Linked DNA regions of Canis lupus familiaris. Each later gene encodes a partner of the first gene's protein in a complex. Links are inferred from orthologs where the notes say so. Each region holds a gene or a part of one and is shown on either strand. Other genes may lie near its edges. The genes, in order: OS9 and UBE2J1.

Region 1 (7,979 bases):
CCAGCGAGGTTTCCAGTCCACTTGGACCCAGCCCCTCCACCTTGGGCAGCAGGCCCTGCCAACAACTCTTAAGCCAGCCCGCCCCAGGGCCCACCTTCCGCCGTGAGCCCCTCCCTCTCCAGCAGCTCTTTCACCAGCCCCTCGATTTGTTTCAGCTGTGGGTTTTCCCGTTTCATCTCGAGGACAGTCAGATCCTGATTGGGGCCTCCGTGACGGAGCTTGGTGACCCGGACCCGGACTCTGTGTTCAGGATCCTCCTCTTAGAGGGGGAGACATACAGGGAGACACAAAGCAGAGCCGTGATTCCAGGTTAGGGGCTGCGGTGGTAACTTCTCCTTAAGCCATCAACTGGTCCTGGCAGTTTTCCATCACACGCATGGATGAACCGGGGCTCAGAGTAAGTGCCCCCTTCCTCCGTCCCCCTTCAGCCTATAAAGCTCCCTCCACTAACCGTAGCCTCCCTTTCCCCTCCTGGACCAATCATCCTGCCTGTCCCCTACAGGAAAAACCACTGTGTTTTCTGAAGCAAAAATCAGGTCACCTGGGCCAACGGAGGAGTTTTGTTTTAGGAAAGCAGGTTGGAAAACTGTGGTTTTGTTCCACATGCTGGTACTCGAAAGACATTCTAATGTTTATAGAGATGGTGGGATGGAAGATGTGAAAACAGAACATTCCATTTGGAATGTCTAATCTCATATGACCCCGTGGCATGGAGCTCAGGGGTGCAGGAGGAAGCAATAACTTCACGTCTGTCCTGCCAGGCAACTGGCTTCTGACCAGCCAGGCTTGCCCGTTCACACCCTACCAGTGGGGGCCTTTCCCAGCGCACGGGGCTCACTGTTGATACGCTGCGTCCTTCACAGGTGTGTGGTCTTCTGCACACAGGGCTGGCTCCCAGTCGTTCCATTAGTTTCTACCGACCACCCACCATGCGCCGTGGAAGTGCTAGGCGCTGGGTACACGGGAGCCAGCCAGAAAACCGGACAGACATGCTCTAAAAGCCGCTTCCTGAAGGGATGACTGAGTAGGAGGTAACCAGGCAAAGGGATGGAGGCAGTGGGAAGAAGGCAGGAGAGCTGCGTTCCAGGAGGATGGAGGGGAGTGAACACCCTCGGAAGAGCAAAACGGGATGCCCACCAGGGTACACCAGCTGAGGGACCCTGTCCAACAGCTCTTACCTGCTGGTGGGGGGCTGGGGGGAGGCTTTTTGGGGGCAACCCTCCTTTTCCTGTGCTTCTTCACCAGCTCTGGACTCTGTTTCTCCTCCAGCCTTTTGATGAGCTTGTTGAGAGTGGAGGTCAGGGCCAGCATTGCCCGATCACGCTCAGATTCCTTCTTCAACCCGTCTGGGTCCAGCTCCTTCTCTGTCTGGAATGCCCAAGGCAGGAGAGTGGAGTCAGGGGGCGGGGGAGTGCAGCTCAGTGGTCCGTGCTCTAACAGGAGAGCAACGGCTAAGTCTTGGCCCTCCCTCTGGTCTCCCCTTCCCTACCGTCCCCTCCTTCCATTAAGGAAACAAGTGGCAGCTGAGCACACTGTTCCCTGCCCTGTGCCAGCCGCAGGCCGCCCTTCATTCCTTTGCCCCCCCAGCCTGCCCTAGTCCATAGGAGCAGCCGGCTGCCAAAGCGAGCAGGGTAAGGGCTGTGCTCACTTCCTGGATGATGGTCTCCAGCTCCCGCTCCATGCCGGCCTTCACCTCCGAGCGGAGCCGGTCTCGGTCTGACGGAAGCAGTATCCCTTCCAGTTCCTTCTCAAACTCTCCCAGTAACTGCTGCTCATCCTCATCTTCATCTTCATCCTCCTCCTCCTCTTCCTCCTCTTCCACCTCGTTCTGATGATCCATGTCACTCTTGTCCTTTTCCTCTGCTTCCCTTTGAGGGACTTCTGCTGCCTCACCTACAGGCTGCTCTTGGCCTCCGTTGGGCTTGCCCTAGGTGGACGGGGATCGGGAGAAAGAGACGGACAGTTGGGGTTTCAGTAGAGACGTGTGGGCCACAGATAGACAGTGGCTGGAGTGTGGCAGTGGGGGGACTCTGGAGGAGGAAAGAAAGGGAGTCAGCTCTCCTGGGCTCACTCCAGGGGCCGTTCTCTAAGCGCTCCTAGCAGGGAGGCGGGTTCTCCCCCTCTGTTGAGCAGGGGCCTGTACCTTTTTGGTTCCACCTTTCAGCTCCTCTATCAATCGAATCAAGTCTGCAGGACTCCGGATGACTTTGACCTGTACGTTGTTCTGAAAATCTGAGATGAAAGAGCAGGGATGAAGCAGTTCTGTCCTAAATTCTATTTTGATTTCCTAAGGAGAGGAGATGAGGAGACCAGGGAAGGACATGGTCCCTGCGTCCGGGAGCCACCTGTCTGGTCACTGAGATAGGGGCCGACGCAGGCCCCTGGAGGGTGCTGTCCTAAGGTGGACCCACAGATGAGACAGGGGATGCTAACACGCTGCTCGCACCCGCGCTGCTGGGCCCTGCTGGCAATTACTCCAGTTCTGAGGACTACGGAAGAGATTCTGGGGCCACAGCCTTCTCTTCCCTGGATACTGTTCTCTCCTTTCTGCCAAATAGAAACCATTTCTTGTCTACTCTGGTCTACTCTGTTCGGGGCATTCTGCTGTGAACTACAGACTCGTTCTCACTGAACCTCACAACTACCCTGTAAGGTAGGGGGATTACCCACTGCTGGGGGTGAGGAAATTGAGGTTAAGTGCAATCACCCAGGATTACAAAGTCAGCAAGTAGCAGAACCACCGAGTTCCGTTATCTCCCTAGAATAGCATTGCTGTCTGTAAATAGTATTGCCTCCAATTCAATAAAGATGAATTCACTGCTGGCCTGGCCGCCCAACCTCCCCCACCAGTGTTTAGTTCCACCCCACCCCACCCCCACCAGCCCCAAAATACATTCAAGCGGTAAAGGAGAGGTGGAGGGTTCTGCTCACCATGGGGAGGGGCCGGAGCTGGATCTGCGGCCTCAAGGTTTGGTTCCTGCTCCTGATGAGAAAAGGGCGGAGTCAAGTCCACAGGCTCGTTCACACCTACCACATTCTTAAGGCAGTGGTTCTGGGTAGATCCTTGCCTCCCTAGATAGGTGTAGGTCAACTCATGATGACCTCAGCTCGCCCAGGGTCAGCCTCATCAGAGAAATAGCTGGGAAGCCAGCTCTCACCTCAGCCGGCATCTCCGTTGCCCCAGGGGTCTGCTCCTGTGGCTCAGGAAGCATCTTCCAGAAATCGGACTCCTTACTGTCATCCTTGGTTGGATGTGCACCTGGGATACAGAGAACAGGGAGGACTCTGAAAGGTGGGAGAAACAGAAGGGAGCAAGTAGAATGGGGTACATTCCCCTTCACTATTACTAAGGAATTAAGGCCCGTAGGACTTCCTCCCCACCCCCAACGGTCAGTGCAGGTCAGTAGGACTGGGGAAGGGAAGAAGTGGAGAAGTTTCACGGAACAGATGCAGGAAGATCCTACCTCCTCTCTTTGAGGGCACCGCTCTGGGTTGGGCCTCACCCCATGTTTGCGGCTCCAGGTCTTGCAGCTCCTCTAGGGCTTTATCTCCATACTGCTTTGAGTCTACTGAAAAACAGTGTGTGGGCAGGACAAGGCCACATGCCTACCTTATCTTCCGCTTGTCTCTCCTGGTGTCTTTTCTTCCTCTCCTTTCTCTTTTTTAAGATTTTATATCTTTATTCATGAGAAACAGAGAGAGAGAGAGAGGCAGAGACATAGGCAGAGGGAGAAGCAGCCTCCCTGCGGAGAGCCTGATGCAGGACTCAATCCCAGGACCCCAGGGATCATGACCCGAGCCAAAGGCAAACACTCAACCACTGAGCCATCCAGGGGCCCCCTCTCCTTGTTCTTCTAATTACTCACCAGCTTGCCTCTGAATGTAGGCCATGTACTCCTCAGGCTGCAGGGCAGGGTGACAGAGGATGGCCTGAGGAGCAGCGCTGGGTGGGGGCCTTAGGAGAGGGTGGGGGCAGAGCCGAGGAGTCCGGACGGTCAACACATAAGAGCAGGATAAAGGCTCATCCACACGATCAATGTAGTCCCCGGAAATACCAGCACCCTCGTCACAGAGGAACTGCCAGGACAGACGGGTGAACAAATTATTACCACTAGGGATTAGCTTTCGTTCTTCGAGCAGCTGCCTTTTGTTCAGCACTTACTGTGTATCTGGTTCTGTGCAGACACTGTGTATAGGACACTTTATGTACTTTAGCTCAGTTAATGATCACAAAAACCTAGTGAGGGAGGGATTAATATCTCAATTTTGTGGCTCAAAAAACTTAGGTTTGATGCAGATAAGGGACTTGGTCAGGTTGACCACTGGTAAGTGGTAAAAACAGGGAACTGAATTCAGGCAGCTTCCCTGTAGAGCCAATTTTTGTTTCACATTCTTGCTTTATATAAATACAGTGTATACATACTTGTATGTATTTGAGATACACACAGAAACAGTTGACCCTTGAACATTGCAGGGGGTTAGGGACGCTGACCTCCCCCTCCTCCCCACCTGCCCAAGTCAAAAATCTGCACATAACTTCTGACTCCCCAACTTAACTACTAATAGCAAAAGCCACAAGAGATCACTTTTTACTGTGAAAAGCAATTTATGGAGACAAACTGCTCATGCAGAGATGATTGTCGTGGAGTTTTAAGCAGATCCCTGCAACACTTGAGCTCATCCCAATAGCAACAGGAGGTGGCTACAAAAGCACTACAGTAGTACAGTATGTTCTACAGTTTTATGCTGTTGTTATATAATTCTGCACCCTTTTGTTTACATTTCTCTCTACTGTGAATGGCACCATATATGGTCTATAAGTCTGTGCATACATTTTGATAAATTTTAACTTTTTATAATAGACTTGTGTATATTTATGGTAGCAAATGATAAAACAGCCTACTACCTACCTATATTTCATGCATTCATGATAGATCTAACTTAATTTTCTCAGCATTTCTAGGCTATGTGGTTCATCTGTGAGTTTTTTTCAAACTATCATAAATCTCCTAAAAATTTTCCAATATATTTACTGAAAAAAATCAACTTATAAGTGGGCCCACACAGATCAAACCTGTTGATCAAGGGTCAATTGTACTTCTATGTATTTGAAACATATATTCTTTTTGTGTGTGTACACATGTATGTGTATGCATAGGATTAAAATTTTTCCCTGCAAAAAGACAATATTAAAAAAGAAAAAAAGACCTCAAACACTAGAAAAAGAAAAGCAAACTAAACCCAAAGCAAGCAGAGTGAAGGAAGTAACACAGATTAGAACAAAAATAAGTGAACTAGAGAACAAAAAAGCAATAGAGAAAAATCAATGAAACTAAAAGTTGTTTTGAAAAGATCAGTAAGTGAAAAAAAAAAAAAAAGAAAAGATCAGTAAGTGACAAAACTTCAGCTAAACTTACCAAGAAAATAAAAAGAAAAGACTCAAATTAGTATCAGAAATGAAAGAGGGAACATTACTATCAACCTTGCAGAAATAAAGGATTGTAAAGAAAGACTATCAATACCTACACGCCAACAAATCAGATTAACTTAGATGAAATGGACAAATTTCTAGAAAGACACAGCTACCAAAACTGACTCAAAAAGAAGTAAACAATATGAATAGACCCATAACCAGTATGGAGATTGAATTAGTAATCCAGAAACTAACCACATAGGAAAGCCTGGCCAGATGGGTCTACTGGTGAATTCTACCAAATATTTAAAAAACAATAAAGGGCAGCCCTGGTGGCTCAGAGGTTTAGCGCCACCTTTGGCCCAGGGTGTGATCCTGGAGACCAGGGATCAAGTCCCGCATCGGGCTCCCTGCATGGGGCCTGCTTCTCCCTTTGCCTGTGTCTCTGCCTCTCTCTCTCTGTGTGTCTCTCATGAATAAATAAATAAAATCTTAAAACAAACAAACAAACAAACAAAAACAATAAAGATCAATCTCTCTCAAACTCTTCCAGAAAAAAAGAAGAGACAATATTCCCCAACTCATACTACAAAGCCAGTATTATCACCCTGATACCAAATCTAGACAAATATATAATAAGAAAAGGAAACTATAAGCCAGTATCTCTTATGAATAAAGACCCCAAATCCTCAACAAAATGCTAAACAAATTTAGCAACATATAAAAAGTATTACACACCAGACCAAGTGGATTTATCCCAGGAGTGCAAACTTGGGCTAACATAAAAAAATCAATTAATGTAAATGATTAACAGAATAAAGGATAAAAACCACATGATCATCTCAATGGATGCAGAAAAAGCAATTGACAAAATGTGACATATCTTCATGATGAAAGCATGCGACAAATTTGAATGAAAAGAGAATTTCATCAATATGATAAGAAGTGTTTATTAAAAATCCACAGCTAACATTATACTTAATGGTGGAAAAACTGAATAGTTTCCTCCTAAGATCTTGAATAAGACAAGGATGGGGCACCTGGGTGGCTCAGTTGAGTGTGATTTCAGTTTAGGGCATGATCTTGAAGTCATGAGATTAAGCCCCACATCAGCTCCACACTGGGCATGGAGCCTGCTTGAGATTCTTTCTCCCTCTCCCTCTGCCCCTTCCTCCCAGCCCCAACTCTAGTTCTTTCTCATGCTTGCACTCTTTCTCTTTCTCAAAAAAGAGAAAAAGGAATAAGAGAGGTATGTCTGCTTCTGCCACTTCCATTCAACATTGGGTTGGAGGTTTTGACCAGGACAAAAAGGGGGGGGGGGGGGGGGGAAGAAAAAGCATCTATATTGGAAAGAAAAAAAGTAAAACTATTCCATTCACAGATGATTTTATATACAGAAAATCCTAGGAGCACCTGGGTGGCTCAATTGGTTAAATGTTTGACTTTTGGTCTTAGCTCAGGTCTTGGCCTTGGGGTTGGGAGTTGAAGCTGCTCATTGGGCTGCATGTTGGGTATAGCACCTACTAAAAAAAAGAAAGGGAAAGAAAGGAAGGAAGAAAGAAAGAAAGAAAATCCTAAAGAATCTATTAAGCTATAGAACTAATATCCAAGTTCAATAAGGCTGCAGGATATAGGCATCAATTGTATTTCTATACATTCAAAGAACAATTCAAAAATAAAATAATAAAATAGTAAAAAGAAAATAATTCCATTTATAATAGCATCAAAAAATAAAATAATTAGGAGTGCCTGCATGGCTCACTTGGTTGAGAGACTGCCTTCAGCTCAGGTTGTGGTCCTGGGATCCTGGGATAGAGCCCTCAGCAGGGAGCCTGCTTCTCCCTTTGCCTCTGCACCTCCCCCTTGCCCATGCTCTCTCTCTAATAAATAAATAAAATCTTAAAAAAAAGAGAAAATAATTAGGAATAAATGTAGCAAAATGCTTGAAAACTACAAAACATTTCTTAAAGAAGTCAAAGACTTAAATACATGTAAAGATATCCAACCTCAGAGATTAAAAGACTTAATATAGCAATCCTCACCAAATTCCAGCTGGCTTTGTTTTGGAAATTAACTGATCCTAAAATTCATGAAAATTCAAGGGACTCTAAATAGTCAAAATAATCTGGAAAAAAAAAAAAGTTGGAAAACCCACACTGATTTTAAAACTTGCTACAAAAGTACAATAATCATGACAGTGTAGTACTGACTTAGAGACAGATACATAGACCAATGAGATAGAATTTACAGTCTAGAAATTAACCTTTACTTTTATTCTCATTTGATTTTTTGAAAGGTTATCAAGATAATTCAATGGGAATCATCTTTTCAACAAATAATGGTGAGTCAACTGGATATCTATGTGCAAAAAAATGAAATTGGACCCCTACCTCATACTATATACAAAAATTAACTCAAAATGGATCAAAGACCTAAATGTAAAACTATAATATTTTTAAGAGAAAATATAGGTATAAGTGTTCATGGATTTAGATGACCTAATGGTTTATTTGATATGACATAAAAGGCACAAGCAACAAAAAATAGGTAAATTGGAATTCATCAA
Region 2 (4,233 bases), on another chromosome or scaffold:
AAGATTCAACACAAAGAATGCATAAATGAATGAAGCAGGGTATCGGGGTTTGGTTTTGTTTGCATATCTCAGCCACTCTGATTATCCATTTGCGGCTCAGAAAACAACATCATGGAATGGCTTCAAAGATACCACCTAATTCTTATTTTAGATATCCTCCATTTCATCCCTTCCCTCTCCATTTCAGTCTTTACCAAGGGTTGCTGGTACAATTCTCTATGTAACAAAATAGAACTTGTCCAGCCAGATTAACCCTGCTTCACCTCACCTAGAATTCCTCCCTTCCCTCTTCATCCTCTTCATCCTCCCCACCGTGCCAATCCCTCCGTGTCTGCCTCAATTCTCACCCCTTCCTTAGCCTTCGAGAACCCGTATGTAACCCTTTCTCTGAATCCCGCTTTCCACAATGAAGCCTATACTGTGTCCTTTGAGGTTTACCCTTATGTATTTGTACACGTTCCCCCCAAATTCAATGTGACTCGCTGTTTTATTTGACAAGTTATAATTTCTTTCACTCCCCTCCCCAGGCTTAAAAGTACCTTGCACCTAATCACATTACTAAAACAAAAAACAAAACAAAACAAAACAAAAAAACAAAAAGAAACCCACAAACCTAAATTGCTATAAAAATCCTACTGGGGGCAGCCCGGGTGGCCCAGTGGTTTAGCGCCGCCTTCAGCCCAGGGCCTGATCCTTGAGTTCCGCGATCGAGTCCCACGTGGGGCTCCCTGCGTGGAGCCTGCTTCTCCCTCTGCCTGCGTCTCTCTTCCTGTGTCTGTCATGAATAAATAAATAAAATCTTTTAAAACAATAAAAATAAATAAAAACCCTACTCAATTTCCTTTTATTTTTAAAGATTTTATTTACTTTTCCTGATTAAAGATTTTTTAAAATTAATTTATTATTATTTTTTTTAAATTGGAGTTCGATTTGCCAACATCTCGCATGTCACCCGGTGCTCATCCCGCCAAGGCCCCCTCAGCGCCCGTCACCCGGTCACCCCAACCCCCGCCCTCCGCCCCCGCCGCTGCCGCCGCCCCGCGTTCGCTTCCCAGGGTCCACGGGCTCAGCACTGGGTCTTGGCGCCGCACTGGCCGTCGCGACCGCTGTGGGATGGGCTCCGGGGCCGCGCGCGCCCCTCCCCGCCCGCCGAAAGGCGCCTCCGCGCGGCCGCAGCCTGAGGCGGACCCGGGCGCCGCCCGCTTTTGCAGAGCCCGGAGCGACCTCGGCGGCGACCGACCGCCACGAAGCGGCCGCCACGTCAGGGCAACTTCACAAACCCGGGCGAGGGCGGGTGACGCAGCGCCGGCGGCCGCGGCGGGGTGGGGCCGGCGGCCCACGACGAGGCTGACCCGCAGCCCGGGCGCCCCGCTCAGCGACGCCCCGGCCGGCGCCGGCGCCCGCCCGGCCCTCAGGGAGGCGGGGGAGCCGCGGAGGAGGCGGCGCCATCGCGAAGCCCGTGCCCCGCCCGCAGTCCGGGCCGGGGCTGGGCGGCGTCTGCGGAGGCTCCCTCGGCCCGGCCCAATCGGCCCGAGCCGCGCTGACACCCGGGCGGCCGCGGCGCGGAGAGGTGGAGGCGGCGGGCGGGGAGGCCGGAGCCCGGACGGCGATCGGCCATGGAGACCCGCTACAACCTGAAGAGTCCGGGTGAGCGGGGCGGCGGGCGGCGCCCCTGGGCGGGCCGGGCCGGGCCGGGCCGGGCAGGGCAGGGCAGGGCCGGCGCGACCCCCGGCTCCCGGCTCCCGGGCCCGGCGCTGCGGTTCCCTCGCGTCCGCCGGCGCTCGCCGCTCGGCTGCGGGGCTTCGCGCTCTACGCGAGACCGCCGCCTGCCGGGCTGGTGCAGGCCGCGGGGCGGGCGCCCGCCGCCGACCCCGGGCACCGGCCGCTCCCCCGCGGCGCCCGGACTCTCCCTCCCGTCACCGTGGGCGCCCGGTGCTGGGCCCTAGGCTCCTCGCCAAGAGCAGGTGTCACGGGGATGTCCGTGGGCGGCAGCCAGCCCCTGCGGTCCCGGAACGCGGAGCGTCGCTGTCCCTTCGTCGCCGCCACCGGACTTTTATTAGCTGTTTGACTCACTTGGCGTGTGAGGACCGGTTTGTTTGAATTTCCCATTTGCAGCATTTGGGGCGACTGGAATTGCAGACCTAAAGGAATGCTCTGTTGGAAACCAACGAACCAGCGAGCTCAGAAAACTAGTTAGATGAGCCGTGTACTCTGGGGCTAACCATGATTTTTTTTTTTAATTTATTTATTCACGAGAGACACAGAGCGCGCGCGAGAGGCAGAGACACAGGCAGAGGGAGAAGCAGGCTCCACGCAGGGAGCCCGACCTGGGACTCGACCCCGGGTCTCCAGGATCGCGCCCTGGGCGGAAGGCGGCACTAAAGCATGATTTTTGCCGTGACGACTAACACGATGATAGAGCTCGATATTCCGTCATGGAGACTTCCTGTGGTTAGTGCCCCAGCTTCATTCACAGAGCAGCCCGAACAATCCCAGCCTCAAGTTCTTCTCTGGTGCATTTTAAGATGCAAGAAAAGTCAAGCCACTCTCTCCTATTAAGGCAGGCTGGAAATAAACCACTAGGTTTTGTAAGTGGTATTCATTTTATCTGCACCTTGATAAGTTTGTCAGGAGGGAGAAACTCCGCAGTTCAGCTCTAAATGGTAATCCTAGAATATTAGTGATGGTTTGAGCACATATTGCTGCTGCTTTATGTCTTCCTTCCAAGGAAGCGTCTTTTCCGTAGGAATCAGCAAGATTAGCATCCCGATGGAATAGAGCTGACACTGCGAATCTTTGATCTTTAAGAAATACTTAATGTGTAGGAACTCCAGAAAAGTCTGGGGATATTGATCGAACAGAGTGTTGTTAACTTGAGTGCTGTCGGGCTGAGAAATAGTCTTAGCTGACCAAGTGTGTAGAATGGATCATAATATTTGAGGGTGCATGGACTGCTTTAAAAATCTGGTGAAGGCTTTGGGCTTTCCAAGAAATGCATTCATATAATTTCTCTTAAGAACCCCCAGGGGGAAAAAAGGAAAGTAAAAGAAGAAAGAGGGAAAGAAAACCTCCACTTTTAGATTAGATGGTAGGATGCTTAAATTGTTTAGATTTTCATAGATTTAAATGAAACTATGTGGGTAAACATGCATGGTGACTCCTTAGAGGTCACATGATACCAAGTTCCTTAGGACAGCTGAGGGACTTAGTAGAGTGTCCAGAGAATAATGCAAATAAAAATAATAGTGCAGTCTCTGGAACGGACAACTGGTGGGTCCCAAGACGTTAAGAGCACATAGCTCGGGATCCCTGGGTGGCGCAGCGGTTTGGCGCCTGCCTTTGGCCCAGGGCGCGATCCTGGAGACCCGGATCGAGTCCCACGTCGGGGTCCTGGTGCATGGAGCCTGCTTCTCCCTCGGCCTGTGTCTCTCCCTCTCTCTCTCTCTCTCTGTGACTATCATAAATAAATAAAAATTGAAAAAAAATTAAAAAAAAAAAGAGCACATAGCTCACTTTCGATAGGTCATCAGACCTGAGGTTATGAGAAACTTTTAAAATTCTCCAGAATTTTGTGCATTTCCAAAGTATAGGATCTACCAGCTGGCTGAGCTTTGGCCGACATGCCATGTTTGTAAATTGCTTCCTCTTTTTTGGTATCATTTCCTCAAAGATGGTGTTGCTGTTCTATTCGAGATGATTTCTAAAAATCTTTTTTGTTTGTTTGCTTTGTTGTATGGATCATTTGGAGTTCATAGTGAAGGTGAATTAGATGACATATGGGATGCACTAGAAATGCTAGGAGGCACGATGAAAATGCTTCCTTCCTTTGTTTTATTTTCAGTGCTGTGGTATTTTTGGAGCAATGCATATGTGGAAAAAAGTGGTTAAAAGCACTGCACAATGTAAGAGATATAACCCTTTCTCTCTAATGTGGAATTGTCTTAGAGGTATGGATGGTTCAATTAAGAGAATACCCATAACTGGTTAAGGGCCAGTGTGCTAGCATGTGGATGGTAATTTGTTCATTTTGTAAGTGGGAAAACTTAATTTTTTGTGACTTTTCTGGAATGGACTTGTGGCGATGGGCAGAGAGCTCTGTAGAGAGCCACCTCATAGGCCTCTGACTTAGCCTCTCAATAGTTGCACTGCATCAAGCTCCCTGGTCCCTTTTTGGGTCTGCTCTGGCCAAGAAGGCAGTAGGGTCTCACAGTACAAAGTAGGGAGACCCATGTG

Evidence for each region.
Region 2: OS9 (region 1) and UBE2J1 share a complex: the UniProt entries of both Homo sapiens proteins name them as parts of the HRD1 complex. The link is inferred for Canis lupus familiaris from reciprocal best matches to the Homo sapiens genes OS9 and UBE2J1.

The regions. Positions count from the first base shown.
Region 1 is NC_049231.1:2,132,632-2,140,610, reverse strand, and holds part of OS9 (protein OS-9), read right to left. Parts: intron 4,078-7,979; coding exon 3,867-4,077; intron 3,570-3,866; coding exon 3,465-3,569; intron 3,260-3,464; coding exon 3,159-3,259; intron 2,984-3,158; coding exon 2,932-2,983; intron 2,576-2,931; exon of another isoform or gene 2,293-2,575; intron 2,233-2,292; coding exon 2,144-2,232; intron 1,928-2,143; coding exon 1,649-1,927; intron 1,369-1,648; coding exon 1,179-1,368; intron 864-1,178; exon of another isoform or gene 260-863; coding exon 95-259; exon of another isoform or gene 1-94. UniProt on the Homo sapiens protein: Lectin component of the HRD1 complex, which functions in endoplasmic reticulum (ER) quality control and ER-associated degradation (ERAD).
Region 2 is NC_049233.1:48,785,275-48,789,507, reverse strand, and holds the start of UBE2J1 (ubiquitin-conjugating enzyme E2 J1), read left to right. Parts: upstream 1-1,433; 5' UTR 1,434-1,616; coding exon 1,617-1,647; intron 1,648-4,233. UniProt on the Homo sapiens protein: Catalyzes the covalent attachment of ubiquitin to other proteins. Functions in the selective degradation of misfolded membrane proteins from the endoplasmic reticulum (ERAD) and is essential for cells to recover from ER stress.